2 linked regions of the Alligator mississippiensis genome follow. The protein of the gene in region 1 interacts with the protein of each later gene in a biochemical or structural test. Links are inferred from orthologs where the notes say so. Each region holds a gene or a part of one and is shown on either strand. Other genes may lie near its edges.

What was found.
Region 2: of the proteins of CASP3 (region 1) and GSN, one has a biochemical effect on the other in vitro, tested with the Homo sapiens proteins (2 studies listed by BioGRID). The link is inferred for Alligator mississippiensis from reciprocal best matches to the Homo sapiens genes CASP3 and GSN.

The regions. Positions count from the first base shown.
Region 1 is NC_081825.1:71,024,784-71,041,048, forward strand, and holds the start of CASP3 (caspase-3), read left to right. Parts: upstream 1-8,223; 5' UTR 8,224-8,573; intron 8,574-8,628; exon of another isoform or gene 8,629-8,734; intron 8,735-8,936; exon of another isoform or gene 8,937-10,113; intron 10,114-16,265. Other genes in the region: PRIMPOL (DNA-directed primase/polymerase protein), read right to left, coding at 2,098-2,189, 5,747-5,926. UniProt on the Homo sapiens protein: Thiol protease that acts as a major effector caspase involved in the execution phase of apoptosis. Following cleavage and activation by initiator caspases (CASP8, CASP9 and/or CASP10), mediates execution of apoptosis by catalyzing cleavage of many proteins.
Region 2 is NC_081835.1:64,352,790-64,368,742, forward strand, and holds the start of GSN (gelsolin), read left to right. Parts: upstream 1-7,539; 5' UTR 7,540-7,646; intron 7,647-7,932; exon of another isoform or gene 7,933-8,189; intron 8,190-8,757; 5' UTR 8,758-8,776; coding exon 8,777-8,809; intron 8,810-15,953. UniProt on the Homo sapiens protein: Calcium-regulated, actin-modulating protein that binds to the plus (or barbed) ends of actin monomers or filaments, preventing monomer exchange (end-blocking or capping).

The sequences.
Region 1 (16,265 bases):
ATTGCACGCAGTACTCCAACTGCGGTCTGACCAGCACCTGATAGAGGGGAAGTATCACCTCCCTGGACCTATTCGTCATGCATCTGCTGATGCACGATAAAGTGCCATTGGCTTTTCTGATGGCTTCGTCACACTGCCGGCTCATGTTCATCTTGGAGTCCACTAGGACTCCAAGATCCCTTTCTGCTTCCATGCCACCAAGCAGGTCATTCCCTAGGCTGTAGGTGTGCTGGACATTTTTCCTCCCTAGGTGCAGCACCTTGCATTTCTCCTTGTTGAACTGCATCCTGTTGTTTTCTGCCCACTTGTCCAACCTATCCAGATCTGCCTGGAGCTGTTCCCTGCCCTCCGGCATGTCCACTTCTCCCCATAGCTTTGTGTCATCTGCAAACTTGGACAGAGTACATTTGACTCCCTCATCCAAGTCACTGATGAAGACATTAAAGAGTATCAGTCCAAGGACCGAGCCCTGCGGGACCCCACTGCCCACACCCTTCCAGGTCAAGACCGACCCATCCACCACGACTCTTTGGGTGCGACCCTCTAGCCAATTCACCACCCACCAGACTGTGCAGTCATCCACATCACAGCCTCTTAGCTTGTTCACCAGTATGGGGTGGGATACCGTATCGAAGGCCTTCCTGAAGTCTAAGTATATGACATCCACCCCTCCTCCTGTGTCCAGGCGTTTCGTAACCTGGTCATAGAAAGAGACTAGATTGGTCAGGCACGATCTGCCCGCCACAAACCCATGCTGGTTTCCCCTCAGCATAATTTGCCCTGCTGGGCTCTCACAAATGTGAGCCTTGATAATTTTTTCAAAGACTTTACCAAGGATGGAGGTGAGACTGACTGGCCTATAGTTGCCCGGGTCCTCCTTCCTCCCCTTTTTGAAAATGGGGACCACGTTAGCCCTTTTCCAGTCCTCTGGGACTTGGCCTGTGCGCCACGAGCGTTCGAATATTCCTGCCAGTGGCTCTGCAATGATGTCGGCCAGTGCCTTCAGCACCCTCGGATGGAGCCCATCCGGGCCTGCCGATTTAGAGGCATCCAGTTCTTCCAAATGACTCTGCACCACCTCAGGATCTACGTATGGAAGTCTGGCGCCTTGCTGCTGCCTCTCTACAACCCCAGTGAGAGACTTGTCGTGCCCCTCACCTAGGAACAGAGGCAAAGAACTCGTTGAGGAGTTCAGCCTTGTCCCCCCTGTCTGTCACCAATTGTTTCTGCCCATTTAGCAGTGGTCCTATTCCTCCCTGGGCCTTCCTTTTACTCCCTATATATCTAAAAAACAATTTCTTGTTGTCTTTTACTTGGGTTGCCATCCTCAGCTCCATGGTAGCTTTGGCCCGCCTAACTGCCTCCCTACAAGCACGAGCAGAAGAGGTATATTCATCTTTAGTGATCTCACCCTGTTTCCTGTTGTTGGCAGCATCCTATAAGTTACAAACACAAAATCTATAGTACTGACAACATAAATGTGTTAATGAATTAAAAGATTTATGAAAGCTAATTTTAGAAACACAGAAATACCCCTGAGATAATTTACAATGCAAATAGAAAGCACTGAGAACCTGAAAGCAAAATAAATGACTTTCACACATAAGAAAAGTAGATGCAATTAAATGTTGATGTCTGAACTGAGGGGACACCCCTCCCCCCCCCCCCACACACACACAATGATGATAATAGCTTAAATAAAAGGAATATTGGACTTTGAAAATTCTCTCAGTAATCAGATATTACTGCTAATATTTACCAGATTGTATTTACCACATGTAATTAAGTTGAATCCCCTTTGAGATTTATATAGCAAAAGACAAAACCACAAATTGTGTGATACATTTCTATGCAAAGTGCTATTTAAGTTATTTATTTAAGAAGGCATAAGTTATGTCATCTCTTGACACTCTAAAATGATGTTTTTTTACCCCCTCTACAAAAACAGATTCTCTTTTGTAGTCAAGTTCTGCTTGGCACACAAGGCTACCTGATACGGTCTCCCAGTGACAAAATCATGTTTCTAAAGGCCAGACTGCATTTACCCCAGCCCCAGCAAAGCACAGAGCAGCTGAGAGCTGCTTATCAAATACTTACTTATAATAGAACCAAAGCTCAATATATGTTGTCACAAGGTAAAACCTTTGTCCGTCTTCAGTGTTCTTTTCCAATGCAAATACATGCACTTCCTTTTCAAGATTAAAAAAAGGAAAAAAGTAAACTGTCCTTTTGTTTCAAAATACTTTGTTGTCAAAATGGTCTCTTTGACATTATTTGAAACCCTTCACCTGAGACACTAAGTTTCTATTTATTAAAAGCCTACCAAATGACTGTTTTAAATTAAAACAGTAAAACTTGCTGCTATGCAAGAACTGCGTTTTGACTTCAGTTGTAGCAGTATAAGTCTGGAGAAGCCCACTCATCAGTAAAGTTAACATCAGTGCAAGTCTTTGATAACATATCAAAAATGAGGCTGAAGTGGTATTGTATTTCTTTAGTAATTTTGATCTATAGCAAATACCACCAGTTCAAGGGCAATCACCTATAGAAAACAGCACTCTACATTAAGAGATGGAAGTATATAGCTCTCAGTCAAGTATAATAATGTACCAGTCATCTTTTTATTATATATTATGTATAAAACTACAGGTAACCTGAAGAGAGAGAAATGCTAACATACTGGCAGTGATTAGGTCAAGTGCTTTGTCACAACCATAATTTTGGATGAGGTATTTATAAGAACCCAATACCAAGGTATCCAACCGCTTTACTACCTTTTACTGCATTTACCATCACAATAATCCTAAGGTTGGAAGCGCAGTTTCTTTATTTTACAGAAAACTGAAGCATAAAGACGACTAAGAGTCACAAAGGAACTTAGGCCCACGTGACCTCATGCAAAAGTCATGCTAGGAGTCTTGTGCTAAAACAGGGAACTGAACCCAAGTATCCCAAGTTTCAATTTCTTTTAACTTGATAGTTGACTTCTTTGGTGAGACCTATGACTTAAGTGTTGGTTACCATCACTTCTGGTTCAAATACTGTATTTTCTCATTTGCTACATAGCCTCAAATACAATATACACTTTGTTTTTGGAAGGCACAATGTAAAAGAAAAGATTTTTCCAGAGTCATGCCCAACTGTGACACAGTAACAGAGAGCCCAGTAAGTGCAGCATCCCAGGGAAGAGTCAGGGTAAGGCAACAGGGACTTCCTAACGTGCCAGGACAGCAACAAGGCTGGGCCCTAGACTCTTGCAAGGGCAGCAGCAAGACTGTTACTTTTTTACTATAACTAGTTCTTTATATAAGTTCCTGTAAATAATAAGTACTACTTCTGCATAAGCCTCAAGATACTACAGACTGCATGCAGCAGCTCACCCACTGCCAGCCAGCTCAAAAGCTCTTTAGCCAAAAGCTACTGCCTCACCAACAGCTTTGAGAGGGTTAACACTGGATCCTAACCCTGCTGTTTGCAGGTGCAAGAAGTAACAACCCTCTTGGGTTGACAGTAGGCATAGTGTCTGCTTGCTCTATTCCACCCTGCTTCTAACAAATTAAAATTAGCTTCCTTGTTTAAGACACACGCCCATTTTGGAGGGGGAAAAGGAGCCATGTGGTTGGTAAGTAAATACAGTAGCTCACTTTGCATATTACCATTTGCACTGTTTCCCCTGCGTGGTTATTTAGGCTCTGATCCTGCAAGGGCAGACCTCCCTACCCTGTGCAAAAGCTCAAGAGGAGGCATATCGACTCTATAAGATGGAGGCAATTGCAGGATGGGTTCTTTAGTATAGTGATTTTTTCCGTTATTCTGTGAGATTTATCAAAATACAGTTCTAATACAAACAAGATGAACTGAGTGTGTTATGATATATGTTAAACTACTCCTAGCTTTTTCAATTAAGCAAATGTATAATTGTTGCTATTCCTCCAATGACTGTGTTTGATAACTTTACTGATTCAACTTTAAAGTTTATATTAGCATAAATGCATAGGTATGGTAATTTGCTTCAACACTGGAAAACTGAATGATTAAATGAGTATATTTAGGACGCATTTGGGAAACAATTTAAGTCACTAACTCCGATGGACAACTTTATGGCATATTTTATAGGGCAGAAGAATATGTTTTAGCAACCCCGCGTTTAGAAGGATTACAATGGAACACTGCACTCAAGACTAGCGAATAATTTTCATTGCAACAATATATGAAACCTGAAGGGGAGAGGCTAGGGGAAAGACAACCAAAACAAGCAACTAACCACAGAATGAACAACAGCCTACAGTTTATTTTCCTTCATCCTGTCCTTGTTATACTAGGAGACATCAAGGGAGTCATTTGGTTTCAATTATTCTGGGTTTCCTTTACATCTAGCAGAGGCCTACAATATTTTTTGGTGGAAGTCATTTTAAATCATCAAATGGAAGTGTCCACTGAAATTTATGAGGAACTTCCCCATGCTGTTTGTTTTTTGTTTTAACTTTTTGGTTGACTTTGTTTTCATGCACATTTGGTTTTAAAAAAAAGACAATTATGTCACAGAATCTGAAACACAAACTGTTATAAATAAATGGAGTTAAAAACTTTGAAAGAGGTTTATTTCAGGTGATTTGGCTCTTATTTCAACTTGTGTCCCACCTTGTTTTTCCAGAGGTACTGTCTCTGGTGTGTCAATAAAGAGGTGCCCTCCTCTGTGGAATGTTTTGGTCTCTGTGTCTTTTGTTTTCTGACTTTTCTTCTTCTATATTATTTGTCTTTCTTGACCTTTTTCCTGTTATCACTTGCTTTTTCCTTCATCAACATCATTTGCCAGTCCTGTCTTCTCACTAACAAGCTCCTCCACTATCAAAAGTTAAATGGCACACCTAACGCAGGAGCGGGCAAAATACGGCCTGCAGGCCACATCTGGTCCACCAGGCCATTCAACCCAGCTCATGGGGCACCTAAAAAGTTTAGAAAATTAATATTTATCTGCTCCTGGCTGCCTGTCAAAGACGACAGGAGACAGGGGCAGTAGGACCTAGGGGAAGCCGGCAGAAGTCAGGAGCAAGGCTGGCCCAGCCCCACCCCCCCCAGCCTCTTCCCCACCAAACCAGAAGTCTCTACTTGCGCTGGCTTTCACTGCTTCCCCCTGTGCCTGCTCCAGCACCACGTGGCCCTGGGCTGAATCCCCAAACCACAGGAGCCGGGGGGCTCATTTTAAGCTACTGTATAATCACCTCTATGTACACTACACAAACACATGTAAATCAGGACAAAAATATTTTTTTTAATCAAATTAATGAATGTTGTAGACGTTTGATTTTTAAAATATAATTGGGTATTTTTCTGGTTCTGAAATGGCAAAACCCCTTGCTGAAAGGAGTATTTCTGGGGGCAAGTGGAGGGACCTTTGTGGCAAAGGTAAGGGGTTACGGAGTGGGACTTCCAGTCCCAAGATGGTGGGGCACCTACCAGGGGGTGGGGCAACCCATGGGGCCCTCTAAGCAGCCCTCTGCCCGAAATAATTTCCTGCCCCTGATCTAAAGTCTAATGTTAGACATCATGCTTATTACAGTTATGATCCCTGGATGTCCCATGCTGTCCTTTGAGGATTCAAATAACATGATGTACCAGGATTGCACAACACAAGAATCCTGTAACCTGAAATTTACTTTGTAGACTACCACAACTTTAAAAGCCAATTCAAACCTTCAAAGTATCTCAATAGTAAAGTAATTCTTGTAACAATCTGATGCCTCACCTCTTTGCAGGTTTTTACATAGTCAAAAGCTTGAGCTTGTCGGGGAAATATTTTCCAAACAGAGGATGGTTGCCATGGTTTGGACAGCTTTGGCCTATAAGCTGAGCAAAGTGGGTTTCTTTTATATTGAGATTCTAGTTCTTCAATCTTCTTCAGTTTTTCTTCCCATTTTCTCTTCATCTGTCCTCAGGCAGTGAGAAACTAACCTGTAGCTCTATATTTAATATGTAAATATAAAAATGTTTTCGGTTTGGGCTTTCATTTTTAATAAACAAGTCCACATTTCTAAGGTTGAACTGTTGCATATAGAGCATATACTCCACTTAATGAATAACGGTAGCAATATTCAAGATCAACGCACAGCTTTGCCATAAAATTCCTTTTAACGTTACAATCCCCATACATTCCCAGATCAGTAAGAGAACTTGTTTTCATATCAACTGCATGAAGAATCAAGTTGTGGAACTGTTAGGCTTGTTCCACTGTCAGCGCACCAGAAAGGGCTTAGTCTAAAGGAAAGCTTCAGATCATTCTGTAACATTTTGCTTACAGAACACTAATAACTTACCTACAAAAACAATGAGCCAAATTATAATTAGGCATTCTCTCACCAATACCAGAAAGTATATAAATGTCATGTTTCACAAGTGAAATGAAAAGTGTAAAATGATTAGTCTAGGCCAGGGATGTCAAACTCATTTGAAAGATGCCCGGTATGGGTCTAGTCCATAGACCAGATCAGGATCCACCACCCCACGTTAGATCTAGCACCTGTGGCACCCATCTTGGACCCAGCAGGAAGAGGCCCACCACCCTGGCATTTGGCTGTCACTCTGAAAACAAACTGTGGCATAAGGCTTCTTCCCAGGGTGATACTAGGGCTCTTGCACTGCTGCTCTCACCTGGGTGCTTGGCAGCCAAGCAAGCAAGAAGCGTGTGTGGTGCTGGAGCCCCAGCAGCACTATGGTTTCTTCCTGCAGCTGCAGCCAAGCACACAGGCAAGAGCTGGCTACTTGGCACCTGTTGCCAGAACAAGCCACAGTATCAGGCTTCTTCCCACAATGCTGCAGCTGCTGCACTGTGACTCTTGCCCAGGCGCTTGGCTGCCACTGCAAGAAGATCCCCTATTGCAACCAGAGTTGGGGCAAAATCTGCAGGCAGAATGACCCAGCTCCACAGGATGGATCTAGTCCACAGGCTACATGTTTGACACCCCTGGTCTAGGCCATACAGCCAGTCAGTCCTTGAGTCAGGATTAGATTTCAGAGTCCTTAGTTCCCAGCCCTAAATCTGTTAGACTCTTGTACCTCAGAAAAGCAAAAACAACTAAATCTGAACTTTGTACTTCAGCCTCACCTTGATAGTTGGTCATATTGTTTGTTTTGTAACCTCAAGATTTCACTGATTTATTCACTTGTATACACATTTACTGGAAATGTTGTTACACTTTTGAAACAGCAGACCTACCTGGGCTCAGAAGAGGCATTGGCACACCTGAGCTCACTATCACTCAATCTTTGAGCTTCTAATCCTGTAAAGCAAACCTGAAGCAGGAACACTGAAAAACAAACACCAGCATCATTATAAACCAGCCTGACTTTTGTCATTTTCACCCAGCAAAATGCCCTCTCTCTCAAAACTCTTTAAAGCGCGCATGGCAGTTTCTACAGGAGTTTTATCACAGACACACAAGACCTGTTCCTGCTACCATTAATTGATTTGTTCCCCTTTCCCCTCGTACATCTTTTGTTTTGCATCATTGCTTTCTTTCCCCTGCTTCTTCACACCCCTCCTCTTCCACTTCGGATTCTCTCTCCCCGACTCAGTATCCCACCGAGATTACTCAGCCGGGACATCAACAGAGCGAAACTAACTCAGGGGTGGGCAAAATATGGCCTGCCAGGCCATTCTATCCGGCCTGTGGTGACCCTAAAAAATTTAGAAAATTAGTATTTATCTGCCCCGGGCTGCCTGTCATGCGGCCCTCCATGGCTTGCCAAAACTCAGTAAGTGTCCCTCCACCCAAAATAATTGCCCACCCCTGAACTAACTCCACACCCTGCCCTCTGGACAATTACAGGCCAGGTCCACAAGGAGAATGTCAGTATTTAACCCTCCCCTTTATGCCCTCACTCATGTCCAGAACAACATCCTCAGAAGGGCCCGTCTAATATTACAGACACCTTAACGCCCTAGAAATGCTACAAGTGCCCATTTCCACCAGCAAAGTCTCCCAGGCATGCAAACTGAGGCTGGCGAGCACGCAGCCACCTGTCAGTACTTTCCAGACTTCCTCAGGTCACGGAAACCATTGGTGCTCCTCCTGCTGCTGCCCAACTCCTACCCCCTCCCTAAGGACCCATGCTCCAATGATGCCCCCATGTCTGGGGAGGACACAACAACCTACAGGAGACACCAGGGCATGCACCCCCTGGCTTCCCCTGCACCCAATGCACGGTGGGGGGGGGCACCTTTTTGGCAGGCGAGTCACAGGCCGCGCCCTGACTGATCCCCTGCTCCCGCCCTGTCTGCCGCTCCGCTTGCTGCTCCCTGCCGCGTGGGGCAGAGGGAGGCCACGTGCAGTGCCAGCCCTGCAATAGGTGCCCCAGGCACGACCCCGGCCCGGTGACGGGTTGCGGGACACCGCGGCCCTCCCACAGCGGCACCCCCTCAGCCCCACTCCCCGCGCTGTATGGGTGGGGAGCCGCCGCAAAGGCTGCTGGGAGCCCCCCCCTCGCGCTTCGAACCCGCCGCGCGGGGCGGGGCGGGGCGGGGCTTCGGCTTCTCTCTGCAGGCGGCAATCGCAGCGGGACCAGCAGGGCGGCAGGTCAGTACCACAGCGCGGCGCCGGGAGGGGCGGGGAAAGGGAGGGGGGATTTCACCCCGTGGTGCTGCTCTTGCGTCCCGTGCGAGGACCCGTCCTATCGCCGCGGGGGGAGGGAGGTGGCGGCGCGGCCCCGCCGGACAAAGCCTGCGCCCGAGGCGGGGCACCAGGCGGCGGAGCCTGCGCGGACTTGGCGGCGCCGCCCCAGCCCCGGCTTTAGTGCTCAGCCTCGTCCTCCGCCCCCCGCTACTCCGCGTGGTCGAGACCCGGCTACCCAGCGCGGCGGTCCCCGCTGGCCCGGGCACTTGGCAGTAGGGAGTGGTGCCCGTTCCTCCCCCGCCTCCTGAAGTGCCGCTGTAGAAACACCGTTTGAGTGAGGTTGTACCCCTCACTGGTGCAGGAACTAGGCAAGAGGCAAGGATTTATGTGGGTGGAGTCTTGTACTGGACCCCGATTTGGTTGGGAGAGACTTAAACAAGCTTTTGAACGCAGTTGGAGCTGGGTGTTGCTGTTGAAGTGTCCCTGCCCGGCTCCCTGCAACTGCTGCTTTGACTAGTCCTGTGCCCTTTCACTTCCACATGTCCCCTCTTCCCCTGGTGGCCACTGTATTCAGCAGCTCAACTAGGTCTGTCCCGACTGAGCGGTTACATCGTGGTTGGGGCACTAGCAGGAGTCTGGACACCAGGTTCCAGAACAGCTCTTCTGCTCATGCGGCTCGTGCAGCCAGCCAAAAAATGCCAAAGATTTGGTGACATGCTCAGGCAGCAGCACTTTTCAAGCCAGGGAAGGACCCAGCTGTCCCAAAGAGCTTCAAACTTGTCTCTCTGCTATACCACACATACAGATTATACGGCTAGCTGATGCTGAACTGGCTTGTCCCATACGTAAATAAATGCCTGATCCCCAAACAGGGCAGCCTTCGCCCTGGAAAATCAACACCAAGCCAGCTGCTTATTCTGACTCAAGATACTGAGGATGGTTTTGAAAGAGGCCAAATCACCAGAGCTGTGTTTATCAACCTAACAGCCATCTACGATATAGTTAACCACCAGTTCCTCCACAAGACCCCGGAAATGACAAAAGATCTGTGCCTTACAGAACTGATGTGAACCCAGCTCAAAAACACTTTTTTGCCAAACTGGATGGGAAGTGAAGTAGATGGAAGTGACATTAATGGCCTCCCCCAAAAGAAGCATACTTGCACCACTGTTGTGGAACTTGACCAGCCAATCAATTTGGAAACAAGGTTTCATCTGTTCAGACAACCTGCCCATAACAAGCCCAAACACTAACTTTGACAATGTTGAAAAATCCCTTACGGAAGCACTAGTTGGCCTAACTTCATACTACACTGAAAACCAGTTATATATCAACCCAACAAAAACACAACCATGTATGTGCCTTCTGTCTGAAAAACAGTGAGGCCAACCACCGACCGGCTCAGCATTGGATGTCCGGGACCCCACTATCCCACTGTCCAAATCCAGTTTACCTTGGAGTCACCCTCGATCAAACCCTCTCATACATGAAGATGAAAGCAAAGGTGAGTACTCAGAATAACATTCTGCATAACTTCACCAGCTTGAAATGGGGAGTGAGCCCCTCAACCACTGGAAGCACTGCTCTGGCTTCCAGCTTCTCTGCTGAGTATGCATGCCCTGTACTAAGCACCTTGACCCTATTCTGAACGATAGCTGCTATCACAGGATGTCTGAAGCCTACCAGGATAAACAGGGCTAGCTGGCAATGCTCTGCCTGACATCAGAAGAATAGTGGCCTGCAGGATAGAATCATCGAGACAAACTGAAGATGTGAGATGCCCACTGTATGACCATCCCGCAATACCCAAACATCTGAAATCACGCAGGAGCTTCCTCACCAGCACCCATCCTCTCAATGCCACGCTCAAGGAGACAAGACTACTACACATGTGGAACGAAAGGCTGAAGAAAGTACCTGACAGCGGAATAAGGGCATTCCAGCAGCCGAGTCCTTATCACCAGGGGCTGATGAAACATGGCAAAGGTGGCAGAGTCTCAACCGCCTACGTACCAGAGTTAGGTGCTGCAAGATACTAATGAAGAAGGGGCTATACCATCGGTTCAACCATCTCTGACTGCGACAGAGAGCTTCAGATTATGCAACTCCTGCTGTAATGTCTGCTGTTTGCAGGCACGTGTACAATGAAAGACCTCATAAAGTACAATAAATGAGCATGAGCATGTGTAACAAAATGGTCAAAGGTGGTGTAGAGACATGAGAGGAAGATGACAACCAAGCAATTGGTCCAATAAAAGATACCACCCACATACATCCTTGACTCTGACATGGAAATAGTAAGTTTCTGCAGCCCCCATGGTTTCCATCAAGGTCCCTGTCCAAGGTATTGTCAACCTGAACCTGTTAGGAAAGAGGAGTGTGCTGGCATTTATGTCAGGTTGCAACCCTTGACCTATGCCTTGTGGTTTCTTTGTTGCATATCTGTCTCCCATTGGGTATTAGATACACTTGAAATTCTGTTTCTTACTCGAAAAGCCATCTGAACTAAAGTGCTTAGTTGCTACAATGATGAAAGCAGTATAAGAGCTGTATATAATGGGTCTGTGCTGTTTTATCCAGCCAACATTTCTGGGTCATCTCCTCCAGGAGCAAATTCAAGGCCTGATATTCCTGTTGTTTCCAGAATTTTTCAGGTGTCACTATGAAATCAGTGCAGTTCTTGACAGTTTTGCTACAGCCTAATAATCCTGAATAGTTAGCTGACATATTTGGCTGAAGTTGTTGCTGAAAAATGTAGTTTGAGATTGACTGAAATATTTTGCAAAGTTATGCAGATTGCAGCAAATCAAAAATAAATTCTAAAATGGTTGACACCTGTTGTTTTGACTTTCCTGTTCAAAATACTGTTTAATTTCCAAATTTTACCTTCATTAAAATACTTCTGAAGATGTTAAATAATGTTCAAGAAGAGAATTAAAAAAATGATTTAAGAAACTAACTTCCCTTTGTTTCTACATTGGTCTAAGTGTTCTGAATAGCATCTGGGAAATTGAGCACAAATGGTAAAGTCTATATTACAGTAAGTTATGGACAACTGGTGAAGTTTATAGTATTTCAGTAACAGTTGCTTTCAGTAAGCGGACTTATGGTCCATTGGCTTCTCTGAACCTGTTTATATAGACACACAGTTTCACATTCATGATGTGCTTTTTTTAATATCCTTCATTATGCATGATTATATTGTTTTTATTTAGAGAGCTAAGGACTTGAATCAGATGGGCTACTGCATTGGTTTCCAACCCTTTGCTTGCAGGCAATATGTTTCCCAAAGGATACTCCAGCATAGCTCCTGCAACAGGAAATCTTGCTTTCCCCAGATACATCTTCCTTTAGGTTAACAGGGAGAACAAAGTGTGATGTTTACCACAGAAAATTATTTCTTCAGTATTGTTACCACTGAAGGCTGGGGACTGCTGAGGTAATAAATGAAGAATGACTAATTGAAATTGGACCTGCATAATACAAGAAGTTAGGCTGGTGAGCAAAGAAAAGCCTTTTAGAGAGTTTACAGCCACAGTGCAGTCTCTGCTTATTGTTAATTCATAGATGTTATGGCCCAAAGCCACCGTTACTGTTATGTGGTTTAACTTCTTGAATAACCTAAGCCATTTAATTTACTCCCAAATTTATGCTTTGAGTTGTAAAGCTTTTAGAAAGCTATCCAGTCTTCACTGAAAGATTTCAAATGATGGTGAATCTACCATATCCCTAGGTTACAGTGGTTAATTATCCTCCTACATAATAGCTACACCTCATTTCAGTTTGAATGTTTCTCATTTTAGCTTCCAGCTACTAAGTATTGTCATGCAGCTGTCTGCTAGGTTAAAGAGCCCTTTGAAGTGTAGGATTTTTTTCCCCATTTACATGGCCAGGTCACTTCTTATTTCTCAGTTTTTAAGCAAATAGTTTGAGCTGTGTAAATCTCTCATTGTAAAGTATATTTTCTAGTTCTCAGATCTTTCTTATACTTTCTCTGAAGTCCTTACAATCTTTCAACATCCCTTTTAAAAGTTTGGATGTAATATCAACAGTGGAGTCTTAAATCAGAAGGCAGGGTAGACCTGCACTGTATATGCTAACTAAATCAGAAGTGCATAACATAAGCCAGGGGTTCCCAATCTTTTTATGCTGAGGACCAGCAGGAAGTGACCGCGGACTGGCAAGCCGTGGACTGGAAGTGACTGTGGACCGGCAAACTGCAGACCAGCAGTGGCCAGCATACTGTGGGCAGGTAGCCAACCCTTTTTCTATATTCAGAATAAAAAAGGGTTGACTGCTGCTCCGCAGTATGCTGGCCACTTCCATTCCATGGCCACTTCCAGTCCTGCAGACCAGCAGATAACCCTTCGCGGCCCACCATGGGGCCACAGCCCAGGAATTGAGAACCCCTGGCATAAGCTTTATGAAAGCTTTGCAAAAGCTTATACTATGCATCTCTGATTTAGTTGGTGTGCAAGGAGCAAATCTACCCTGCCTTCTGCCTTACCAATTAATCTTTTCAGCCAAAACATTTCACTGGACAAATATATTCATTAGGTATCTAGAATAACCGCATAATCCTTTTCTAAGTCATTGCTTTCCAGGATACAATCCTCCTTTCCAATATGGCTTATATTGATAGTAGATTTATGGATTTACATTTTTTGTTTTGTTTTGTGTTAGCATATTTTCTATTCAGAATAAATCATCAAGTATTAGCCTTACTGAAATAAATTTCCTTAGTGGCCACAGGCATAATTAGGAAACCAAATTACAGTGTAGTACCTCCACACTTCAGCTACTGTGTCATGCAGTATGTATTGTTTGTTTTTTTTCCCCCATGTTGCATCAGTTTACTTGACAGAGCCTAACTTAAGCATTTGCCATCTGCGATCTATGGATGCAAACAAACCATGAAGCCATCCCTGGGGTTAATAAAAAGAGATGCTTTAAGAAATACTGTTTAGAGCAGTGGTTGACGGTGTTTTCCAGCAGTGGAATGGAATGGCCCAGCTTGTGTCCAAGGCAGGCTGGCACTAGGACTTGTCTGTCACTGCTGCTTGCTCCTGCTGGCACTTCTCTCTCCTGCCTGGCTGCAACACAGCACAAGAAAACTCCCCACTACTGAGCTTTCCAGCTGATGCAGCCCTGCCCCCCCCACCTCCTCCCACCAAAGCCCCAGCTCTGCTAATCAGATTCCATGGCCCATAGGTTACTAACCCATGCTTTAGAGGGTTAAGAGACTAGAAACCACAATTCTCTCCAAAAGATGCGAGGAACTCATTTTCCCTATTGACACTTGAGGACTGCTGATATGATTCCCATGAAGCCTTTGTCAGTGGAAGGATGATAGTTCCACTAATGCTTTTCACAACACTCCATAATTTTCTGGATGTGGCTGTTAGAAAGCACTTACCATTCATCTCTTGCCCACCCATTTGGGCCAGGATTCTTTCCTTAAGTGTTAAAGAAACATACTTTTTTTGTCTCTCTCTTTTTTTTAAATAGTTTTATGCTCCGTATACAGAGAGTTCATTGCAATAACTACTGTTGTCTTTGTTTCATAGCACAGCATAAAATATGTTCCATATGTGTTTAGTGTTTTGTGTACTATGGTTATGTAGACAGTAACTCCACAGATCCAGTTTTCAGTAGCATGAGTAAGAAAGTGTGCAGTATTTAATATTAGCAAAATTCTGTAGAGAAATGTCGTTTAAATGTTTATTATTCAAGTCTGTTGTTTCTTTGTTCCCTCTAGGCTGGTCATTTTAAACAGCAGTACTGGTCATTCCAGTATTCCATGCATGCACATGTTCTGCTTGTTCTCTTAGTTCAGGGGTGTCAAACTCACCTCCCCCCTATTAAATCCACACAGCAGGGCTCCTCATGATCATGCCTCCAAAATCTCTGGTCCTCCCCTAGCCCAGCAGCCTGGAATGAGTGCCTCTGCAGGCCAGATTCTGCCCTTGGGCCATGTGTCTGACAGTCTTGCCTTAGAAGAATATTTGCAGTTTTCCAGTGTAATTGTATAAGGTGAAAAACTGCAGAGAGAAAATAAATCACAGATGATCTTGTAAAATTCTTAACTCATAGCTTCTGTTTTGGGATGCTTATTTTAGTATCGCTGTGATGATCACTACTTCACAACAGTTGGCATATATTAAACACGTGTTGTCTTGTCCATAGCCATTTGAATGTTTCAGGGTGTTTGAATGTTTTAGGGTGTGTAGAGTAATTGGATACCATTCAGTTATTTACTCTTTTTATCATAGAAATTGAATATTATTTCAATTTATAGCAATTTGTCATATTGTATATATTTCATAATTCAGATATATACTTGTGTCCTGAAATGAAGCATTGTTAAACTGGAGTTAGAGATTGGATTTGTAATGGCTCACTCATTTGACTTTTGTAAAGAAGCATAGTAACCGATCATTGTTACAACAAAAGGAATAACCTGGAAGAGCTATGCTAATTAAAAAAAATTATATTCATAATGTACTATGCATGTAGGTTATGAAAATAATTTTGTTTTGTAACCTGCCAGCAGTTCTAATTTTTGGACCTGCTTCAAAGATTCCTTCTTTGGCACACACCCCTATACATTAGTTTACAGAACACACTTACCCCTTTTGCAGCATCTGTCTCTTATGTCTGTGATCTTTTTTATTATTATTAAATATAAGAATTGAGTAGAAGCTACCCTGTAATGTAAAGTAAATATTCTACTAGCTACGGAAAAAAAGATGCATGTTATGCCAGTGGTGACTTCAGCTATTTCTTTGGGGGCTTTTTATTTTATTTTAAATTCTATCACTGTTAAAAGCTTCTCTTACCTAAGCTGATACTTTAAGCATTAGGGATACAAATCTATAGAAGCAAAACAAAGAATAAAAATCTATAGAAGAAAAACAGTAATTTAAATTAATTCTGAACATGTTTTCCCAAAGTACTTTTTTCATCCTTCATAGTATGAGATCACCCTCCCTGGAGAGATGTATCCTCTGTTTGACAGAGTATGACATCATCGCATTAGCTAAGTAAGATGAGGTAATTCTTAGCTATACTGCTATAAATTAGCTAGAACCAGCCTTCTCCCAAGAGCATTGCTGCTGCCTTGTGTTGGTATCAGCATTCTGAAACAGAAAAAAATGTTTCTGACACAGCCCAGCAACAAAAAGATGACTGCTCCTAGGTCTGTCTTTTGTTCTTCAGACAAGTGCAGCTGAGTTGTTTTATTAAGATGCTCAAAAATTCCTAGGATGTTAAAGGTGAATTGCAGGTATGGCACTGAAAACCAGGTGGATGTATTAGTGTTTTAATGCCCACATCAAGGGGAAGTAGAGCATTCAGCACATAAGTGACCTCAATCTGTCACTTCAGTTCTCATGGTCACAAAGGCTACCTCCATGTAAAAGACCATAGAATACATTAGAGTGATATAGCAGCTGTTACTGTAACCTCTCTGGCCTACGTAACTAGCCAAAAATGTATATAGTAAAAGCCTTTTTTTGTATTTTATAATAGGAATTTACCACACTTTTTGTGTAAAATGTTTGGGGTTTTTTAAATAACTGCAGTTCATGATAATTCAAAGATAGACTTACTACTTATTGGTGCTAAACGTGGAGTTTACAATCCAGTAGTGTTTCA
Region 2 (15,953 bases), on another chromosome or scaffold:
TGAATTTTCTAAAGTTTTTAGGGGCCCTGCGGGATGGTTAGAATGACCTGGTGGGCCACATCTGGCCTCCAGGCCACAGTTTGCCCACCCCTGATCTGTTGCAATGGGTGCACAGCTGCTCTCAGCCAGAAGTGCACCAGGCAGGGTCTTCCTCTGCTCCAGAAACAACTCTAGGATCCCTTTTCAGCAGGTCACCGCCTGTCTCTCTCCTGTACTGAACTGGCCAGAGAGAGACTGAAGAGGCCAGGCCTAACCAGTTTAGAAAAGAGTCTCTTGGGGGGAGACCGGATATGGGCTTCCAAAATACTAAATGGTGATGAGGACGTCAGTAGGGATGGACGACCGACTCTCGCACAAGACAAGAACAAGGGGTCACAACATGAAAGGAGTTTGCAGTGGGCAAGTCTACACAAGATGCTTGATGAGCATTAGTCTAATAACACTGCGCAGTAGCATGGCGGTTAAAGCCTGCGCTAAAAGCCTACTGCGCAGTGTCGTTAGGCTCATGCGCCGCAGCATCACAAAATAATCGTGCATGTGCAGTAACTCTAGTTTCTGTGCCTTCATTTCCTACTTCACTAAGGAAGTACAGGCAGTCCTCGACTTACATTTTGCACTTGCAACGTTTATAAATTGACATCCTGTTTCAACTTTCTGATGTCATGTTTGACTTTACAACGTGACGCCACGCCAGCGAACAAGTTAGCTGTGTCACCCATCTCCCTGGAGAACATCTGTCCAAACTTCCTTGGGCACTGCTTTGAAGAAAGACAAGACTCCACAAAAACCTGCAGCCAAGACTGCTGGAAGACTCCAGCCGAGAGCCCTCCAAAAAGTCCAGCAAAGAAGTCTTTCCAAATCAATATGATTGCTATTTACAATATAAATACATTAATGTAGCTATATTACTCATCTATAATTGATCGAGTACAAAATTCTAGGTTATTTTTGGTGAAAATAGGGTATCGGTTCAGGAACCAATCCCCCATGCATAACTTGGTTTCTTATGGGAAAATCGGTTCCGAGTTACGTTTCAACTTAAGACATGGTTTTCAGCAACCAGTTGTGTCGTAAGTCTGAGGACTGCCTGTACTGAACTAAATGCGCCCTAACAAAGGTAATGCAAAAATCAAGAACTCTTGGTTCAGGGGATAACTTTCATTAGACCCACTGAGAAACTGCAACAACAAAAATGATATAAAGCTTGCAGAAATGTCTTTTTTTTTTGGCAGTTTTTCAGGGAGTCTAATGTGCCAACCCAACACTTCTAGATGTTTGCCTTTCTTTCTGTCTCAGACCAACAGGGCTCCCAAATGCATCCCAGTAACAAGGGGCGCATTAAGCACCCGTTCGGTTTCAAAGTTGTGCAAGGCAGACAAGGATTTTAGGGTCTGTCTGATCTCTTGTATTAAACCAACTCCAATCGTTGGGCAAAGTCTAGCATGGCATTCAAGGTGGGCGGGGTTGCTGGGAGAAGCTGAGAGTTCAGGCAGCTTCACCAAGCCCTGGGGCGTCCATGGGGGCATCAGAGGCGCTGCAGTGCTGAGAGCTGTGCATGCCCCCTGCCCGGCTCTGGTGCATGCCCCTGCCCCTGGGCTGTGCCCGGCTCTGGTGCATGCCCCTGCCCCTGGGCTCTACCCGGCTCCGGTGCATGCCCCTGCCCCTGGGCTCTACCCGGCTCCGGTGCATGCCCCTGCCCCTGGGCTGTGCCCGGCTCCGGTTCATGCCCCTGCCCCTGGGCTGTGCCCGGCTCCGGTGCATGCCCCTGCCCCTGGGCTGTGCCCGGCTCCCGTGCATGCCCCTGCCCCTGGGCTGTGCCCGGCTCCCGTGCATGCCCCTGCCCCTGGGCTGTGCCCAGCTCCGGTGCGTGCCCCTGCCCCTGGGCTGTGCCCGGCTCCGGTGCGTGCCCCTGCCCCTGGGCTGTGCCCGGCTCCCGTGCATGCCCCTGCCCCTGGGCTGTGCCCGGCTCCCGTGCATGCCCCTGCCCCTGGGCTGTGCCCGGCTCCCGTGCATGCCCCTGCCCCTGGGCTGTGCCCGGCTCCCGTGCATGCCCCTGCCCCTGGGCTGTGCCCGGCTCCCGTGCGTGCCCCTGCCCCTGGGCTGTGCCCGGCTCCGGTGCGTGCCCCTGCCACTGGGCTGTGCCCGGCTCCGGTGCGTGCCCCTGCCCCTGGGCTGTGCCCGGCTCCGGTGCGTGCCCCTGCCCCTGGGCTGTGCCCGGCTCCCGTGCGTGCCCCTGCCCCTGGGCTGTGCCCGGCTCCCGTGCATGCCCCTGCCCCTGGGCTGTGCCCGGCTCCCGTGCATGCCCCTGCCCCTGGGCTGTGCCCGGCTCCCGTGCGTGCCCCTGCCCCTGGGCTGTGCCCGGCTCCCGTGCGTGCCCCTGCCCCTGGGCTGTGCCCGGCTCCGGTGCGTGCCCCTGCCCCTGGGCTGTGCCCGGCTCCGGTGCGTGCCCCTGCCCCTGGGCTGTGCCCGGCTCCGGTGCCTGCCCCTGCCCCTGGGCTGTGCCTGGCTCCGGTGCATGCCCCTGCCCCTGGGCTGTGCCCGGCTCCCGTGCATGCCCCTGCCCCTGGGCTGTGCCCGGCTCCGGTGCATGCCCCTGCCCCTGGGCTGTGCCCGGCTCCGGTGCGTGCCCCTGCCCCTGGGCTGTGCCCGGCTCCGGTGCATGCCCCTGCCCCTGAGCTCTACCCGGCTCCGGTGCATGCCCCTGCCCCTGGGCTGTGCCCGGCTCCCGTGCATGCCCCTGCCCCTGAGCTCTACCCGGCTCCCGTGCATGCCCCTGCCCCTGGGCTGTGCCCGGCTCCCGTGCATGCCCCTGCCCCTGGGCTGTGCCCGGCTCCGGTGCGTGCCCCTGCCCCTGGGCTGTGCCCGGCTCTGGTGCGTGCCCCTGCCCCTGGGCTGTGCCCGGCTCCCGTGCGTGCCCCTGCCCCTGGGCTGTGCCCGGCTCTGGTGCATGCCCCTGCCCCTGGGCTGTGCCCAGCTCCGGTGCATGCCCCTGCCCCTGGGCTGTGCCCGGCTCCCGTGCATGCCCCTGCCCCTGGGCTGTGCCCGGCTCCGGTGCATGCCCCTGCCCCTGCCCCTGGGCTGTGCCCGGCTCCCGTGCGTGCCCCTGCCCCTGGGCTGTGCCCGGCTCTGGTGCATGCCCCTGCCCCTGGGCTGTGCCCAGCTCCGGTGCATGCCCCTGCCCCTGGGCTGTGCCCGGCTCCCGTGCATGCCCCTGCCCCTGGGCTGTGCCCGGCTCCCGTGCATGCCCCTGCCCCTGGGCTGTGCCCGGCTCCCGTGCATGCCCCTGCCCCTGAGCTGTGCCCGGCTCCAGTGCATGCCCCTGCCCCTGGGCTGTGCCCGGCTCCCGTGCATGCCCCTGCCCCTGGGCTGTGCCCGGCTCCAGTGCATGCCCCTGCCCCTGGGCTGTGCCCGGCTCCCGTGCGTGCCCCTGCCCCTGGGCTGTGCCCGGCTCCCGTGCGTGCCCCTGCCCCTGGGCTGTGCCCGGCTCCTGTACATGCCCCTGCCCCTGGGCTGTGCCCGGCTCCGGTGCATGCCCCTGCCCCTGAGCTCTACCCGGCTCCAGTGCATGCCCCTGCCCCTGGGCTGTGCCCGGCTCCCGTGCATGCCCCTGCCCCTGGGCTGTGCCCGGCTCCCGTGCATGCCCCTGCCCCTGGGCTGTGCCCGGCTCCCGTGCATGCCCCTGCCCCTGGGCTGTGCCCGGCTCCAGTGCATGCCCCTGCCCCTGGGCTGTGCCCGGCTCCGGTGCGTGCCCCTGCCCCTGGGCTGTGCCCGGCTCCCGTGCATGCCCCTGCCCCTGGGCTGTGCCCGGCTCCCGTGCATGCCCCTGCCCCTGGGCTGTGCCCGGCTCCCGTGCATGCCCCTGCCCCTGAGCTGTGCCCGGCTCCAGTGCATGCCCCTGCCCCTGGGCTGTGCCCGGCTCCCGTGCATGCCCCTGCCCCTGGGCTGTGCCCGGCTCCAGTGCATGCCCCTGCCCCTGGGCTGTGCCCGGCTCCCGTGCGTGCCCCTGCCCCTGGGCTGTGCCCGGCTCCTGTACATGCCCCTGCCCCTGGGCTGTGCCCGGCTCCAGTGCATGCCCCTGCCCCTGGGCTGTGCCCGGCTCCGGTGCGTGCCCCTGCCCCTGGGCTGTGCCCGGCTCCGGTGCATGCCCCTGCCCCTGGGCTGTGCCCGGCTCCGGTGCATGCCCCTGCCCCTGGGCTGTGCCCGGCTCCGGTGCATGCCCCTGCCCCTGGGCTGTGCCCGGCTCCCGTGCATGCCCCTGCCCCTGGGCTGTGCCCGGCTCCGGTGCATGCCCCTGCCCCTGGGCTGTGCCCGGCTCCCGTGCATGCCCCTGCCCCTGGGCTGTGCCCGGCTCCGGTGCATGCCCCTGCCCCTGGGCTGTGCCCGGCTCCGGTGCATGCCCCTGCCCCTGAGCTCTACCCGGCTCCAGTGCATGCCCCTGCCCCTGGGCTGTGCCCGGCTCCCGTGCATGCCCCTGCCCCTGGGCTGTGCCCGGCTCCAGTGCATGCCCCTGCCCCTGGGCTGTGCCCGGCTCTGGTGCGTGCCCCTGCCCCTGGGCTGTGCCCGGCTCCCGTGCATGCCCCTGCCCCTGGGCTGTGCCCGGCTCCCGTGCATGCCCCTGCCCCTGGGCTGTGCCCGGCTCCCGTGCATGCCCCTGCCCCTGGGCTGTGCCCGGCTCCCGTGCATGCCCCTGCCCCTGGGCTGTGCCCGGCTCCCGTGCATGCCCCTGCCCCTGAGCTGTGCCCGGCTCCAGTGCATGCCCCTGCCCCTGGGCTGTGCCCGGCTCCTGTGCATGCCCCTGCCCCTGGGCTGTGCCCGGCTCCAGTGCATGCCCCTGCCCCTGGGCTGTGCCCGGCTCCCGTGCGTGCCCCTGCCCCTGGGCTGTGCCCGGCTCCTGTACATGCCCCTGCCCCTGGGCTGTGCCCGGCTCCAGTGCATGCCCCTGCCCCTGGGCTGTGCCCGGCTCCGGTGCGTGCCCCTGCCCCTGGGCTGTGCCCGGCTCCGGTGCATGCCCCTGCCCCTGGGCTGTGCCCGGCTCCGGTGCATGCCCCTGCCCCTGGGCTGTGCCCGGCTCCGGTGCATGCCCCTGCCCCTGGGCTGTGCCCGGCTCCCGTGCATGCCCCTGCCCCTGGGCTGTGCCCGGCTCCGGTGCATGCCCCTGCCCCTGGGCTGTGCCCGGCTCCCGTGCATGCCCCTGCCCCTGGGCTGTGCCCGGCTCCGGTGCATGCCCCTGCCCCTGGGCTGTGCCCGGCTCCGGTGCATGCCCCTGCCCCTGGGCTGTGCCCGGCTCCGGCGCATGCCCCTGCCCCTGAGCTCTACCCGGCTCCAGTGCATGCCCCTGCCCCTGGGCTGTGCCCGGCTCCCGTGCATGCCCCTGCCCCTGGGCTGTGCCCGGCTCCAGTGCATGCCCCTGCCCCTGGGCTGTGCCCGGCTCTGGTGCGTGCCCCTGCCCCTGGGCTGTGCCCGGCTCCCGTGCATGCCCCTGCCCCTGGGCTGTGCCCGGCTCCCGTGCATGCCCCTGCCCCTGAGCTGTGCCCGGCTCCGGTGCATGCCCCTGCCCCTGGGCTGTGCCCGGCTCCCGTGCATGCCCCTGCCCCTGGGCTGTGCCCGGCTCCGATGTGTGCCCCTGCCCCTGGGCTGTGCCCGGCTCTGGTGCATGCCCCTGCCCCTGGGCTGTGCCCGGCTCCCGTGCGTGCCCCTGCCCCTGGGCTGTGCCCGGCTCTGGTGCGTGCCCCTGCCCCTGGGCTGTGCCCGGCTCCGGTGCATGCCCCTGCCCCTGGGCTGTGCCCGGCTCCCGTGCATGCCCCTGCCCCTGGGCTGTGCCCGGCTCCGGTGCATGCCCCTGCCCCTGGGCTGTGCCCGGCTCCGGTGCATGCCCCTGCCCCTGGGCTGTGCCCGGCTCCTGTACATGCCCCTGCCCCTGGGCTGTGCCCGGCTCCCGTGCGTGCCCCTGCCCCTGGGCTGTGCCCGGCTCCGGTGCATGCCCCTGCCCCTGGGCTGTGCCCGGCTCCGGTGCATGCCCCTGCCCCTGGGCTGTGCCCGGCTCCGGCGCATGCCCCTGCCCCTGAGCTCTACCCGGCTCCAGTGCATGCCCCTGCCCCTGGGCTGTGCCCGGCTCCCGTGCATGCCCCTGCCCCTGGGCTGTGCCCGGCTCCAGTGCATGCCCCTGCCCCTGGGCTGTGCCCGGCTCTGGTGCGTGCCCCTGCCCCTGGGCTGTGCCCGGCTCCCGTGCATGCCCCTGCCCCTGGGCTGTGCCCGGCTCCCGTGCATGCCCCTGCCCCTGAGCTGTGCCCGGCTCCGGTGCATGCCCCTGCCCCTGGGCTGTGCCCGGCTCCCGTGCATGCCCCTGCCCCTGGGCTGTGCCCGGCTCCGATGTGTGCCCCTGCCCCTGGGCTGTGCCCGGCTCTGGTGCATGCCCCTGCCCCTGGGCTGTGCCCGGCTCCCGTGCGTGCCCCTGCCCCTGGGCTGTGCCCGGCTCTGGTGCGTGCCCCTGCCCCTGGGCTGTGCCCGGCTCCGGTGCATGCCCCTGCCCCTGGGCTGTGCCCGGCTCCCGTGCATGCCCCTGCCCCTGGGCTGTGCCCGGCTCCGGTGCATGCCCCTGCCCCTGGGCTGTGCCCGGCTCCGGTGCATGCCCCTGCCCCTGGGCTGTGCCCGGCTCCTGTACATGCCCCTGCCCCTGGGCTGTGCCCGGCTCCCGTGCGTGCCCCTGCCCCTGGGCTGTGCCCGGCTCTGGTGCGTGCCCCTGCCCCTGGGCTGTGCCCGGCTCCGGTGCATGCCCCTGCCCCTGGGCTGTGCCCGGCTCTGGTGCGTGCCCCTGCCCCTGGGCTGTGCCCGGCTCCGGTGCATGCCCCTGCCCCTGGGCTGTGCCCGGCTCCCGTGCATGCCCCTGCCCCTGGGCTGTGCCCGGCTCCGGTGCATGCCCCTGCCCCTGGGCTGTGCCCGGCTCCGGTGCATGCCCCTGCCCCTGGGCTGTGCCCGGCTCCTGTACATGCCCCTGCCCCTGGGCTGTGCCCGGCTCCTGTACATGCCCCTGCCCCTGGGCTGTGCCCGGCTCCAGTGCGTGCCCCTGCCCCTGGGCTGTGCCCGGCTCTGGTGCGTGCCCCTGCCCCTGGGCTGTGCCCGGCTCCCGTGCATGCCCCTGCCCCTGGGCTGTGCCCGGCTCCTGTACATGCCCCTGCCCCTGGGCTGTGCCCGGCTCCAGTGCGTGCCCCTGCCCCTGGGCTGTGCCCGGCTCTGGTGCGTGCCCCTGCCCCTGGGCTGTGCCCGGCTCCCGTGCATGCCCCTGCCCCTGGGCTGTGCCCGGCTCCTGTACATGCCCCTGCCCCTGGGCTGTGCCCGGCTCCAGTGCGTGCCCCTGCCCCTGGGCTGTGCCCGGCTCTGGTGCGTGCCCCTGCCCCTGGGCTGTGCCCGGCTCCAGTGCATGCCCCTGCCCCTGGGCTGTGCCCGGCTCCAGTGCATGCCCCTGCCCCTGGGCTGTGCCCGGCTCCGGTGCTGGGTGAGTCCCCGAGCCGAGCATTGCCCACCCCGGAGCGGGGAGGTGCCGGCGCGGCCGCCCTGCCTCCATCCCTCCCTCCAGCTCGGCTCCGGGCCCGCCCCAGCGCTGCCTCTCCGCAGCCGCCGCCGCCTCCTGCCTCTCCGCAGCCGCGCAGGTAGGTGCGGGCTCCGGGCTGCCCCAGCCTCCTTCCCCGGGGGCAGCAGCAGCTTGCAGGGGCTCGCAGATGCCCGGGGAGGGGGCTGGAAAGCAGGTCCCAGCAGGTGATAGTGGGGGGGGGTGGTTAGCACTGCCCCCGGGCACCTCCGGCTTGTGTGCATGCCAGGAGCAGGAGCCCCATGCCCATGTGTGCAAGGCAGGGTGGAGCCCAGACCTCCAGGTGTGCCTGCCCATGCAGGATAATGCATCCTCGAGATGACCTGGCATCCCAGGATTGACTTGGAGGTGCCACTAGGCGATTCCCATCCCTCCAGCGGTGCCTGTCGTGGCATAAGGAAGTGAGACGGAGCGATTCACAGGGATGGGAGGAAGCACTGATTAACTTGTGGGAAGGAGGAGAAGTGACGTGGGGCGATATAGGATGTGTCGTTGCAAGCTGGCAGCCTAGACAGCCTGGTCCTGTCCAAGCTCCGTGTCTCTTGTCGTGTTATAATTCAGCAGGGAAGAAAGAGAGAGAGAGGGGGGAAAAAAAAAAGTTTGGGTAAGTCAAATATCTCCTTGTGAACACGAACTGTGTGTTGAGGCTCCATGCGGCATTCTGCTCTCCGATTTGGCAGCGTGGCGTGCAGCAGCGCACTGCCACGTATTTTGTGATGTCTGTGCATGCTAGCTTCTGTATTTCAGGGAGTGCGATTTTATTTATTTTTTTGAAGCTGTCGTTTTAAATCACTGACAGTGTTTCGCTGCCCTGCAGAGAGGGGGTTTGATTGCACGAAGCCAAAAGCACCCCGATGTGAGCAGACAGAGAAGTCCTGAAGGAGCTTCTGCTCCGTAACATCCCGTTGCTCTTCTTGGAAACCCGATCAATAAGAAGCCTGTGCAGATTGTATGGGTGGTTGGGCAGTGCTGTGCAGCTGGCAGAGGCTTGTCCTCTGATTTAGGACATGTGCCAGACTGGTAAAAATAGCACAAGTCTTTTCACATTACTGCTGGGAATAGGGGGGCTTTGTTTGTTTATCTTTTTGCCTGGATGAATATATTTTGAAAGCACTATTTGAACAGAAATTCAAAAATTGCAGACACTTAAACCTATTTAAAATGTTTCCTAGGAAGAGTGTTAAAAAAATTATGGGGATGACTTGTTTCAAGGAGGCCTCATTAGTAAGTAGATCCTCTTTGAATAAACTGCTTTGAATGTTAACTTGCTTTTGGATGTAAAAATCCAACTTTGCTAACAAGGATCCTGGTATCCTTCTTCCCAAATCTGCTAGTCCTCTGACTGACAACGGCCGTTCTTGGGGTCTTCCCTGGCCAGCTTTATGCATGATGCAAGTTTATTGGCAATAAATGTCCCTTTGTGGACAGATGGCATGGCTCGGCGCAGGGTGCTCCTACCCTGGACTAGAACGGGGGGCTCTTCTAGCATCTCTCATCCTCCAGGTTTCCCAAACTATCTTAACAAAATAACAAGTTAAATACTCTTTCTGCAATGACTGTCTAGGCCAACGAAGCAGCCCTGGAATAGTCCTCACAACCTCAGATATCACAACCAGTTTCCTTAATATTATCCTGGAGAAAATGTATTCCTTGGTCCCTTCTATAAAGTACCATGCGATTGTCTAACTTTTCCCTGCGCAGCTGTCGGAGGGAAGCAGAAGGGATCCCAGTTTAACATCTCCGCCCGACGGCGTCTAGCATTTCAGCTGCACTTGTGCAGCCTGGCAGAGTATGCACTGAGTATAAATCTCAAGGTCTAGCCCGGACTCCACCCTATGGTCTCCACGCCTCGTGGTAAGAATGCAGCCCGTTGAGTCCTTGGCACTCAAAACTGAGCAAAGCTTGGTTTCAAGAGTTAATCTTTATCAGCCGGATCGGATCCTGCTCTCTCTGAGTCAGTGGGAATCGTGCCACAGGGCTCGCTGGAACTCAGTATGAAGATAAGGTGTCATAACTGGAAACTTCGGTAGGCCCAGATGGGCGTGGAGTGTAGTCCTGCCTCCTCAGTCACGCTGCTTCATCCGCTAGTTTGAAAGTGAAATGTCAATAAGTTCGTGAAAGCGATAGCAGAAGATATTGCCATACACAGCTGGCTGTTAGGTGCCCAGCTCCCAGGCAGTTTTAGTGGGAATTAGGTTGGTATCCACCTCTTTGCAAAGCTTCCCCATAAAGCTGACTTGTAAAATGCACGTATCACCATGAAGCCCGAAATCTTCTGCAGCTGGTTGGTGATCAACTTACTAAGAATATAATGGAGCCAGCGATCCCGCCTTGACACTATCTAAGTGGCAAGGCAAGAAGACTTGGGTTTATTTCACCATTATCTTACCGTACCGATTGCAATCCGGTAGCACAAGCAGCATTTGAACCTAGTCCTGGCATCACCAAAGCACAGAGCTGTGCCCGCTGAGCTAGAGGAATAGGTGTGTTACTCCCACTCCCAGAGCTGTGCGTATCGTACTAGCTACTAGCAGGGAGATGCACTAGGTGTGTCACAAGCTCGCTCCATGGTCCTTACCACGTTAACTAGAGCCGGCGCTGCTACCTCTGTCTGAAAAGCAGGTTGTCTAACACCTTTGAATACAAAGCCCTGTTTTCCTAGAGATGTTCTGTACGTTTATAAGTCAATATTGGCAGCTCGCAAGCTGTCACTGCGTCTGCCAGTGTGAGCGAGTTCAGCCTTGCTGCTATAAAAGGAGAAAAGCTAACAAAACCGTAAAACTTTACGCCGTACAGAAGGCAGCAATTAATATTTAATATTTGAAAGACCCGCCTCAAGCAAGCATCGCTTTGTGCGTTGACGTAGGATGATGATTGCGTGTGTGTGCGTTTGTGAGTGTGCGTGCACGCGCAGTGCAGGATGTGATCTGATCTGTGGAGTTGTGGTGGGAAGGAAGCTATTCCTTAAAATAGCTGTCAGCGTACTCGCTGTTTACAGTAGGCTTTTTTAGCTCATTTTCCAAGTGTGATCTTTCCAATTTATCTTCCAACCTGCAACATGAGTGCTGCTAATCAATAGCTGTCATCTGGAAGAGCTGGGCAGGCAAACTCACCAGCGTAGGCCTGGTTTTATTTTGGAGCCCTTCTGTCTGCAGAAATGAGGTTTCTGAAATGGCGCAGGAGTGAGTTGGTTACATTTAAGCCACTGAAATTTTTAAATTATATGCTGAAGGGAATTGCAGCTCTGGTTAATTAAAAGGAGCTGGTGTAATTACTGGACAGCGCAGAGAGATTCTCTCGGTTTATGCTTCTTCTTCCAGCATTTAGGAGCTCCTCGGAAATGATCTAGTTTTGTAACCTGTCTCAGATAGCGGCCAATATTCAGTTATGTTCAGGGAAGGGGCAAGAAGCTTTGAAAAAGTTTTGCAATAACTTGTGTAAAGGGGAAGTTTTATATTCAGCCAACCCCCATTACTTACATGTTGGCTTATGCCCCGGAGCATGAGGTTTTTCTCCCCTTCCTAATTATTTGAACAAAAACGCAAAACAATGGATTAGAATATGCATTTCCAATCCTTTAGGGATCCCTTGAAACTCATGACTCAAAAATGCTTTGTGGCAACGAGTTTGACGGGTTGAATCCATTTTATACAAGAAATTATCCCCTCGTTGTTTATGTGCCGCTTTTAAATGTAAAGCGGCTGTCCCCTTTCTCTTGTTCAGTGAGAACGGGACACGCTCGTAACCTGTTCGGTATAGTCATCATTTTGTCTACTTCTCTCATATCTTCCCTTACTCTTTTCCTCTCAACAGTAGTGTCTCAGTCTTCTCAGTCTCTCTGTTAGTGGCTCATTAAGTAGATCCACTAATAGTCCAGATAAAACCATGAAAATAAGCTTTTTTGGGAAGTGAAAAAAGTGTAGGGAAGAAAGGCTCCATATGGTTATCAGTCTTGCCATAAAGGGGATATAGATCCAGAGGCTCCTGAGTGCAAACAAATGCTTGATCTGCTGTGGCAGTTGTCAAACAGAGGACCCGAAACTTTGTCAAACGGAGGACCTGGCAAACAGTCCCCGGGATGCTGTCTAGGTCTTGGATTTCCATTAGAAACATTTTTCTTGTGGAAGGGCAGGCTCTCCCCTGCCCCCACCAAATAATAACCTGAAGAAGATAATAGCCCTTAAATACAGTGCTCAGGACAAGCTACGGGGATTGGAGGAAGTGCAGCAGCCGAATTCCCGTCAATAAACCGATCAGCCTTACTATTTCAAACCAGCCTGCAGCCTGCCCGCCCCCTCGCCCCTGACCAGCAGGCCCCGAGCAAGCGCTCTGTTTTCGGACTCCCGTTCTGCTTCCTTCAGGGCTTTGTCTCCCGGCAGTGTCTTGTTGCAACGTGGAGGGCTGTCACCATAAAAAAAGAGCCTGGTTAATGTCTTTCCCTCCCTCTTTCTCCAAACACGGAGCAGGGTGGCAGGCTTTGCACAGCCTGCGGGGTTCGTTCAAGCGAGAGGTGCCTGTCTGCCTAAAATAATCCTCTAGCCGGAAAACTGCCCGTATTACAGCAAAGGCTGAACATGTGGAGAGTGAGATAAAAGAGGAGAAACAAAATGGAGTGTATTACCCTTGCACCCGCCCTGCCGTCCACACAGGGTGGCCGCTTGGTTGAATGCTGAGCTCAGCAGTTCTGCAAAGGCTACGGGCAAAGGGATTTTTCTTAGGAAAAGAAGAAATAAAAGCAAAACGAGTCCATGAGCAAGCCTCTGAGCCGGCTCCATGTCAAGTAGGGGCTGGATTTCTCGGGGCATCCTCCTGCTTCATCTCTGCTTCCCGAAAGGTCATGGATGCTGGCAGGCATACAGTATTTACATCACATATGCTATCTGGATGCCTGACAGCAGCACTGACTGGCAAAGCACGCTCAGCAGGCCTTTATTTAGGTATTGGCACGCTGCTAGATCACTTTGCTTCCTGTGACCGTGCCGCCGTGCTATCGCGTACCCTCAAATAGTCTCGGTTCGGCAGGTACTTGCTCCAGCATATTCATTCATTCATTCTTGTATTGCGTTTGCATCAGGGAGCTACGATGGAGTCAGGGCCCAGCCTGTTACGTGCTGTAGGAACACACACAAAGGCACAATTCTGGCTGGAAAGTGCCGGGATACTTTATACCCGTTGTACCGAACGACATCCCTACTTGTCCTGGTGACAGAACGCTGTTTTTATTATGGTACCTGTGCAAGTGGTAGGGGGACTGGATTTCAGGAAGATTAATTAACAGACATACTAGCAAATGAGCTGGTGTCTCGGTGCCTTCTGGCTGCACTGATGGATACACAAAATCCTAGGGCACGTTAGTGTTTTGCTCAGGTGCACCCATATGTATTTTCAAAGTGCTCGTGTCCAGAGTTTTATCAGAACATTTTCCTGTTCTGGTAGCTTTTATTTTCTCCAAAGTTGGAAGTGTGGGTAGTGAAGGTACTGTGCTCTTAGGGCAAGCATCTCTGTTGTATGAATATTGCACGAGGGGAGGCAGGAGATGCGCTAGTGCCTGACAAACAGCAAACTCCTCGGGCATTCCCTACCTAGGTATGCAACTTGTGTGCACGTCCTTTCACAGCATCTGAAGTGAGCTTCAGCTCATGAAAGCTTGTGCTATAAACACACACACGCATACACATACATATTGTAGTTAGTCTAGAGGGTGCAGATCTACCCTGCTTACTACTGGGGGTAGGAGAAGGGCTAGGGCCTGTCTACTTGCACTTGTTGATTCTGGAGAATAACTTTAGGGTTTCCCACTTGGATGGCACCCAGTATCTCTGTGATCCAGGACATTCAAACTGATAACATTCAGAGAAATGATGATCAAAGTGGGCGAGAACTGGCTGCTATGGACTGCAAAAGAAAACTGCCTTTCTGTTAACTTTCATAGTGGAAAGATAGTTTCCCCCTCTGTAATGAGCTGGGTTTTTGACCCTTTCTTCTCCCTGTAAAAGCCTGAAGAATGCAAACTGGTTTCAGACATGGAGATTTCTATCCCGTGCACAACCACTGAGAGAGAGAAAGAGTCGTTTGTCTATATTAGGAGCCAGTCAGTGAGCCAGTGGGAAACCATCCAAAGAAAAAGTTTAAACATATGGCCTTACTGAACATTTCCACACACACACACAAAATATAGCTACAAAACAAAACCCTTAAAACTGGAGAAAGTGAATCATCCAGAGGAAGCAAACTCTTTCAGCTTGTATGGAGGTCCCAAAGTGAGAACTACAGCAAGGCTTTGACCACACTTTTGCTTCCTCAACTCCATGAGTCTGCATCCTTTTTTTCAGAAAGGAACTGCCTGTTTAAATGACCACACTGCGGACTTCACATACCTTGCTATGATAAGGAGCCGTGCAACATCCTGTATATGTTGCATAGTTGTGTAAGGCTGTATATTAATGATATTGCCCTCTAGTAGCTGGCTCACAAAGAGGAAAAGGGCCCAGCATTGGAGCAGATTGGTTTTGGAGGTGAATAAGCATCCCAGGTCTGACTTCTCAAGATATGGATGATTACTGCCGTCAACGTGCCTGAGCTGTCTCATTAGAAGAGAAGAACAAGACTGATACAGGTCTTTGTATCTTGATAACTGCATGAAAATAGGAATTTACACATCGCGGCAGCATGCCTGTGCCATGGCAGTGCTCGTATTACTCTACAGAAGAGACGTCCGGTCTCTTCTGACATTCCTGCCATTCAGCATTGTCCAAACTATTTCAGCATGGGGAAAAATGGGCTAGCAAATGTTTGTGCTCAGGAGGCTTAGAGCCACGTTAAACCTCTTCCTCTGTCCCTGGAAAGGTTTAACTCTATTTCTGTGTGATAGGCCAACAGCTGTAGAGATTAGCTGAAGCTAACTTGCAGGATCAGGTCTAAACCAAATACTGTTGCTTGTATGAGCTTAGAGGCTCCTTGTACAAATGCAGCGAGAGACAATCTCCCAATCCCCTCTTTCGGGGACAAGCAAACAGCAGCCCCAAGACCTAGGGAAGGGCGCTGCGGTACTCAAACGCTTGTCTGAGTCTATCCCAGCCCTGCACTTGGTCCAATAAAAGGTATCCTCTATGAAAGTCCTTGCTTTGCACGTATTTCCTAGAGCATCCTGGCTACAACGCCACTTGGACACTATCGATCCCAACCTGAGCAGTTTACAGCCTTGGCAGAGGGGGAGGAGAGTATGACACACAACTAACCAGCTTCATGGAAAATCAGGGACAGAACCAGACACAAAACCCTTCTCGGTCCCGGCCGAAACCCCTCTCCATTGCACTCCGTTGACACGCTTGTTAGCGTGGATCTGCAGTTGTTTCAGGAGCACCTGCTCCAGAACAGGAGACTTTCTGCGGTGTGGGCTTACATCAAACTTCTCACCTGATGGGGTGAATCCTGCTCCATTTTAGGGGAAGGAAGATACTGAAGCAAAGGCAGGAAGGATGAACCCAAAGGATCCCTTGTGCCTAGGTTAGCACCTTGAGAATTTGATTTGTGTGGCTTGTATTTGGATGAACGACCCAAAAACTACACGTAGCCGCCTAGTCTGTACAGCAACTTTTAATTCTCACCCCATGTCTCCTGCTCATTTCATCTCTCCTTTACTACACTTATTTTTGGTTTCAAACATATATGTATAGGCTCAAGCTTAATGAAGTTAGCCATTTGTATAAATCCAGTCTTCCTTTGTGTCTTCTCCGCGCTCAGCTGGACCAGCTGCTGCTGGCACTGTAGCGGGGTCAGGCGCAGGCACCCTGAGACCCTGCTGCATCGGTGAGTGGGCTTCCTGCACCCGAATGCAAAAAGGCAGAGTGACATCTAAGTGCTTTTAATCCCGTGCGGTTCTTATGGAGACTGATATTTGCTTATACTGCTCTTGCCCCAATGGAGGAATAGCGGTGGCTTGCTGACAGACGGACAACCTGCAGTGATCGGTTTGGTGTTTAATGCTCCAGTCACACGGAGGGTCCTGCCTTAGGTCATCTGTGGGCAGCATTTTATCCTTCAACTGCAAACACCTCTTTTCCCTTGTCTCTGGGCATTATTATGCCTTTATCCTTCATTTAGTCATAGGCCTGATGAATGCAACAAGCATTTTGGTGTTGCCGGAGGGTGCAGACACTTGCCAGCTCTACTGTAAAAGGAAAAAACTAGTTATCCAAGGCTGGAAAACACTGCCCCTGCTTCTTCTGTGTGCCTGTGGGCTGGAGGAACGAATGTCTTCTGGTTTCTCTGCAGCTCACCGTGAGCACAACCTTGGCACATCACCGCCCACCGACAAGATTTTGATACTGCCCCCTCGTCTTCGGGTGGCCCATGCTGTAAGGGGTTT